2 linked regions of the Tribolium castaneum genome follow. The protein of the gene in region 1 interacts with the protein of each later gene in a pairwise test. Links are inferred from orthologs where the notes say so. Each region holds a gene or a part of one and is shown in the gene's direction. Other genes may lie near its edges.

What was found.
Region 2: the proteins of RhoGAP100F (region 1) and Nrx-1 interact in a two-hybrid assay, tested with the Drosophila melanogaster proteins (2 studies listed by BioGRID). The link is inferred for Tribolium castaneum from reciprocal best matches to the Drosophila melanogaster genes RhoGAP100F and Nrx-1.

Annotation. Positions count from the first base shown.
Region 1 is NC_087395.1:21,942,736-21,946,502, reverse strand, and holds part of RhoGAP100F (rho GTPase-activating protein 100F), read left to right. Parts: intron 1-1,821; coding exon 1,822-2,784; 3' UTR 2,785-3,767. UniProt on the Drosophila melanogaster protein: GTPase activator for the Rho-type GTPases by converting them to an inactive GDP-bound state. Promotes the anchoring of Liprin-alpha clusters at synapses. Recruits and keeps Nrx-1 levels high in active zones in the presynapse opposite the postsynaptic region.
Region 2 is NC_087396.1:20,895,215-20,899,050, reverse strand, and holds part of Nrx-1 (neurexin 1), read left to right. Parts: intron 1-3,312; coding exon 3,313-3,613; intron 3,614-3,836. UniProt on the Drosophila melanogaster protein: Neuronal cell adhesion protein involved in synapse formation, development of synaptic active zones, synaptic regulation and visual function. Plays a role in cell adhesion between the pre- and the postsynaptic cell.

The DNA of each region.
Region 1 (3,767 bases):
ACCATACCCTATTTCAAGATAAAACACAAAATAAGATGAAACTCGCATCAAAATTCGCAAATATAAATCAGTAAAATTAACAATAGGCTAAAAATATTTGTTGTTTTTTAATAGCGTAACGGGAAAGGTTTTTAAATTAAATACATTTTACTTTGTTGTAACTTTTTTATTGACACGTGGGTCTTGGCATTACCACCATAAGCATATTTTTTTATTATTATATTGCTTTTTAAGCAAGTATACGTGTAACATCTAGTTAAGCAAAAAATTATAAACTAAGATCAATTTCCCTCCTCGGAAAAAATACACCTCTGAGGGCAGACAGATAAATTCCCAGTAAACATACCTATTATTCGAGGTATCACGAGAAGAGTCTAACTATTTAAAAAAAATTGGGGAGTTGTTTGTGCCCCAAAAGAGGTAGCTGCTACTATTTTTAAAACTTCATCAGTAAAATAAAAATTTAAATTTTTTCTTCTAGGACCACTTTAAATATCCAAAGAATATTCAAAGTAGCCCCGTTTAAAAAAAACAATCTGTATTTTTGAGAACACTGCGAATACGATTAAAGATACAACAAAAGATGTAGAATATCAGATTTTTTGGTACCTGAAGCGCTGAAGATACATCTTTAATTTTTTTAAGAAATTTAATTCTCTACAACTGTTTCTTTAACTAATTTAACTGTATTCATAGCATTTTGACAAATTTAATATTGGTAAAAGTTTACATAAAATATAAATACATATGTAAGAAACGTTAGTACTTAAAAAAAAATTACTCAATCGTTCCTTTTAGATGTAAAAAAAATCTAAATTTACAGTAATCAGTCTAAGACAAAGCAGGAAGTGGTTTCATGAGAAGAAAAAATATTGTTTTAGACCGGGAAACATGTAATAACATTTTAAAAGACATTTTCTCCATAGTACTGCAAGAATCCCAATACAAATCCTTTTTTACTCAATTACTGCTTATTTATTTTCCAGTAACGTAAAACATAACTTAAGATGAAATCGAGGATGAAATGAAATTAAATTCAATAATGTACATTTTTATAAATGTGTATCTACTTAGTATCAGTGCTTTATTTAATTCAAAAAAATCCTTAAATAAAAAATGGTGTTCTTCAAACATTACTTACCATTAACAATGAGTGTTAGAGAGAAGATGAAATACTTTTGGCTCTGTCGAGGATTCTTAGAAATAACGTTACATTTGTTTTAATTTAAAATTGTCAATCGTTAATTAGTAAAACTCTTAAAACAAATGTGAGGAAATCTCGCCTTCCGGTAGCAGCGACTGGGATTTCATTATCATTATTTATAATCAATTAATCACATATTGTATTTTTTTTTATTTCTTCCATTAAGACGAGAAAATGTTATCGGCCAAAAAGCAGCCGCTAGAATTGATAGCCTTAAGAGAAAACCCGATTTATATAATTTTGAATTTTTGCTCCAAATTGGCGACTTCTTCTTTAATGTTGGCTTTCACGACTTGCAAAATTTGTATTTTGCTGCGGTAGTCACGTAATTCAAAACGACGCAAAGAAAAAACTCTATTGCCGTCAAATCTGGCAATCTGCTGGGCCAGTTCATCGCCAAAATAAAAAATCATACGGAAATTGGTCAAATAAAAGGAATAATGATTATTTATTTAGAAGTTCAACAACGCAAAATTACACTTTGCGACGAATGTGTTAAATAACAAATAACCGATTCAGATTTTCAATCGAACCAGCTTTATAATGTCAATAACGATGGTGAAAAATTGCCTCCTTGGCAGCTTTGGCGCCTCCCGAAAATAATTCCTCCGTTCCAGGGCCAATCATCAGCAAGCAAAGGTCCTTACCGTCCGCTCTCTCCACGAGTCGGCCCACCAGCAGCGGCGGCCGGCCTCAAGCCTCGTCAGGTGATAGTCTCTTCTCCAGGTTCGCCAAGCAGCAGTAGCGATTCGCAATCGGGTTCCGACTCCGTTAAACACTGCCTGCCCAGCCGTGTAAGTTCGCCGGCCATCCGCGCCTCTCCATCCACCCAGACGATGATCCTGCGGACCTCCCCCTCGGTCACCATCAGCTCCCCCGGGCTCCGCAACTCCCCCTCGACCACCTCCGTCAACTCCCCCGGCCCCCGCAACTCCCCCTCCGTCTCCAGTCTGAGCCGCGCCTCGCCCTCCATCCTGGGCGGGAGCGTGTCCCGCTCCAGCTCGCCCGCCATGCAGGCCTCCTCGGCGGGGCTCAACGTGACCCTGGGCACCACCACCCCCAGCTTCTCCACCCTGAGCAGCACCAGCACCACTGCGAGCTCCATGTTCGGGGTGAACTTCGCCCCCACGACCTACGCGAGCACCAACCCCTTCCTGACGGGGGCGTACTTGAATTACACGCCGGGGGAGATGAGCTTCGGGGATAAGTTCAATACTATTGGGGGGATGAAGGAGACCAAGTCGTTTTTCGACAGTTATTCGACGAGCAAGTCGAGCTTTGAGGCTTCGGAGTCGATCTTCGCAAGTGACACCAAATACAACACCATTGGGAGTAAATATCCAGAGAAGACGAGTTATTTGAGCACCACGTATAGTTCCGAGTTGAAGTATAGTCCAGGGAAGGAGGCCAAGTCGGGGAGCAGTTACGATACGAGTCCGAATGTGACTCAGAGCAACTCGTCGGCGTTGCTGAGCATTGAGGACACGCCGACTCCAACCAGCAGTATTGAGACTGAGGATAGCAATACTAGAGAGGTTGGTGAAAAGGATGTGGAAGGTGACGGTGAACAAAGCGACTGAATCCATAGCGCGGTTTGGGCACAAAACACTTTTTATTGGTGGCAGCACTGTATAAAAGACAAAATTCTTAGGGTAATCACCATCGATGTAATTTACCATTTGATCACATGATGACTATAAATACGAAACAAAAATCGGTTAGGATACAATATATGTACTTGCTTATTAGAATCAAATTAAATAGGATCATTGTTAACTAATATTTAAATTATATACGATATACATATTTTAGTTGGTAGATTAAATAAATATTTATTGAATAGAGAGGTATCTAAGTGGAAAAATCTAGACAAATGGTTGTTGCGTGTTGCACAATTTTATCGGTTTATTATTTCAAAGTGTGATATAATCACCCCTTGTTTTCGAGATTGATGTTAATTGAGTTGATTTTTTACTTGAATAAGTGACAACAAACTTGCAAAGCAGGCACAATTCTAAATCCAGCGAAAATTTACAACAGACTTTCAAACTGCGAAAGGTATCAACAACGTACGGCTTTTCAAGGAAAAATTCTGACTTTTGCTTCGCAAGACTGTCGAATTATAAATAAAAGTTCACAGAAAACCTAAATTTATGGTGTCAACAAACGATACTTTTAACTTTTCCGCTTTATTTTTTTAATATACGGGGACATTAAAATTAATCTGTTCATTTGCAAGTATTTATTTAAGTAATACACAAAGTAGAGAAAATTTTTGTCGCAGCAAAAATATTGCATACGTTTCTTACAAAAATTTTAATACTATAGTAATTAGTCAAAAATAAATCGAGATAATAAATAAATAGCAAGTCTATTTTACCATTAAATCTAACATAAATCATATTCCACTTAAGACGTAAGTTAAAACAAAATTTTAATTAATAAAAAACCAACAAGAGTTGGTTATTGACGGTTATTAACAACTAAGAAATAAATATTACTACCTTTCTTCCAAAATATGTATCCGATTTTCACTTATTTTGGAACAAAGGTAGTAATAAAC
Region 2 (3,836 bases), on another chromosome or scaffold:
CATTGAAATTCGGATTATTAATACAATCAATGCAGTTTTTGCCTGTTACAGTATGTTATCGAAATTGGAACACATAATTTAATTATGAACTATCAAACCGTGACCCAATACGCACCCGAGTTACTGTTGCCTGTTTTATAATAATCTGGGATTTATTAAAACATGACAGAATTGCAAACAAAATTTCATCCTATATTTAACCCTCCTGGAGGTGAAATTTCGACAACAATGACAGATTTTTATACAAACTGTCATCCCTTCTTTAACCCTCTTAGGGGTGATATTTTAAAAATTCTGAGACACGCGCTTCTTCATTTTTAAACGAAACCCCAAATTCTAATTTGCATGGAAATAACTTAAAAATAACGCATTTTCTTACAAGCTGTAACAACCAATTTAACCCTCTTAGGGTTGGTTGTTAAAAAAATCGTCCTTACTGGTTTTCTGCCTTACAAAAAGACCGGCATCTAGCGATACCATTTACAAATTTTTTTCTTACCTCTTAAATACAGTTAAGTACAAATTAACAGCTGATTTGTCCAGCAAGAATCACCTGGAGATTTGAATAGTCAGGAAGAAAGGATATAAGAGTGAGATAAATAATGATTATTATGAAAGAAATAAAGTAATTATTGGTTTGTGAAATAAGATATAAAAAATACAAAAATTATATTTTTCTCATATGGCGATAAATAATGGTGATAAATAAATAGAAAAAATAACAAAATGTACTTTTACTACAATTTGTAGTAAAACACATAAAAATAGATTAAAAATAAAACGTAGACGAGATATCATTGATGATATCACATAAAATTACAATGTGTTCATCAAGTCACCTATGTAATGTAGTGCTGTTAAAATGACAGATCCGACAAAATAATGGAAAAAAGGAAAAATTACGGAAATATAAAACACAAATCAAGACAAATTCTACATTTGACACAATTTTGCACCAAAAAATGCAAAATAATGAGTAAAAAGTTAATTTAAAGATTTGACAGAAATGACAGTACTCCATAGTCTACTATTGGTTATTTGGTTAAAAAGATGCAAAAAATTACAAAAAGTGTTTTTAAACTGATAGCTAGACTTAATAAAAAATTGAAAAAAAAAACTAGCGACTTTAATAAGACACTGCATAGCAACATTTTTAGAATAGTTCTACGTGTTTTGCTCTGTTTTATTAATAGTTGCAAATTACTAGAAAACGGAAAACTTAGCATATAATAAAGCAAATGATACTTTTCCCGGCGCCTCCACCAAAATTGAAGCAAAATATCACCAAATTAATATTATTTTTTGTGACTAGAGCACCACTTTATGATGTTTCACATCAATAATAAAAAATTACATTAAAATTATTTTCATTTCGCTTGTTTTATAAAGAATTGTTAACGTTTTGTTCAATTAATGCAAGAAATTATTAAATTGATGATTTTTTTGAGTACATTTTTTCAACATCTCATTTGAGATAAAAAATACACTTACTATTTTTCATCTTCTGCTAGAGTTTGTAGCAAGACAATAAAAATAAATTAAAATTAAAATCGGTACAAGATGTCAAATAATTATACTCGTATACAGAATCACATCATTTTCTTAAACAGACCTACTAAAGTAAAAAAAAAATCGAAACAATGTGCTTGTAAATTAGTCTAAATATTAAAAATTTAGTGCCGCTTTTATCAACTTTGGTTAAATCTAATGAATAGTTAAAAATAATCGTTTCTGTGAATTTATTCCACTACTAAATTTAACCCCTTTTTCTCAGTGGAAATCTATTCTAATAGCACACATTAACCTCGATTAACATGTACTAGCCAACGAATTTTATACTTTTAAATCGTAAAATTCTGATTTTATTTATGACATGTCATGTTATGAAAAGACATAACAATAATTGTGTAAGAATATGTCGTCACCAACAAACTGTGACATACAGGGTATTAAAAAAAGTAAAAAGATATACAGGGACTAAAAAAATAAAATATTTAAAGAGGTAACAGTATGGACCAATAACTTAATAAACATCTGTAAAGTAGCAATTAGGTAATAACTTCCTTAAATTTTTTACATTATTTTTTTAACTAATTGTTGCTGTGTTTGAGTCAAAGAAGTTTGTCCGATTCAGTGATTTTTGTTGAGATTTTGTCATTTAAGGCTTTTTATAAGTATCTGCCTACATGAAAAATATACAGGGAGATACAATTGTAAGGTTCATTCGCTGATTTGGCAATATGTATTTAGTTTTTAGAAAAACTAATGAGAATATTTTGTTAAACCGCTTAACAGATTAAATATTTTATTCTTGCTTGGTTTCGCAAAAAGTTCACTGAAATGTGAAATGAAAAGAAGACGAATGTAAAAAACAAGTACAGTTAAGGGCCAAGAATATCCTTGTTTATTAAAAAAAACACATTTTTTTAAAACAATTTTTGTCTTAAATATTATTAAATATTAATTACATATTAAAAACTATCATGGAATTTCATGTCGGAGTCGGTAATTAAACTGAATCCAAATTCTTCAATTCTGTGCTGGAAAAAACTTAACGCAAAACTAAAAAAAGAAACTCAATTTGGAAGAGAGACAATTATTATTGAAAGACAAAAAACGTAATTTGAAATAAATAACACAAATTAAAAAATCTTCTTCTATATTCACGAAATAATGTAACAAAAATAAAGAGTACACAGTGCTAAATATTTCATTTATAGAAATTTTGCGTTTCTGGCAATTTTTAAGTTTTTGCCAGAGATTATCTTTGCAATATTATGGATTATTCCACATTCCTTTTCTACATTTTTTTTAAATGTAAGTGTATAGAGTAGTATACATGCTTCTAAAGTTTTCAGTTTTATCCACTTTTCACATTTTTAATACAATTTCTTGTTAATTTGGTAAACCATTGCAAAAATTAACGATCTGTTACTGTCATAGTTAGTTTATGGTGAAATTTTGGTCGCTGTTATTTAACAGAGAATGTTACAAATGTTGTTAACAGGAGGTAACAGAGATTGCAGAATACGAATTTAAATAACAGCTGTAATTTTTACAGTAATACGAGGATAGTAACAAAAGTTAGTGAATAGCACCATAAATATGCACTTATAGATAGAAATGAATTAACAAAGTAACAAAAGTAAATATTTCTAGTTGAATAAACAAAGAAATTAACAGAGAATTACGATAGGATGATACAGAGAAATTAGAATTTTAGCAGACTCATCTCCTATACTTATTACAACCCTTGTGCCAAATGAGTGTGTTTTAAAAACCAAAGTTTTCTTCTTCACTGTGATTCCTTAGATATTGCCACCTTGGAACGCTAAAAAATCGGGCAACATCTCGTTCAAATTCCGCACAAACGAGGCGAACGGCTTGATCCTGTTCAACGGCGGAGTTCGTCCTCCTCGAGTGGACTTATTCGCGATTGAAATCTACAACGGGCACATTTACGTGCACCTGGACCTGGGTTCGGGCCACTCGAAGCAGCGCGGCTCCAGACGGAGGATCGACGACGGCTCCTGGCACGAAGTCACCTTCCGGCGGACCGCCCGAGACGCGCGAATCACCGTCGACGGCTTCCACACCGATTTCAAGACCATTGGTAAGTTTGCCAAGTTCCCAGTAATGCTCGTAATTGTGAAGAAGAAGAAGAAGAATTTATTAATTAAATAGGAAACCTAGTTACAATAGTTAAAAAAATAAAAATTACATTAGTGGATAAAAGTCACACTTATTGCACATTTATCTTCACATAATCTTTGATTTTTGATTTAAATATAGATAGAGTACCTGCATTTCTAATATTGTTTGGTAACTTATTATAT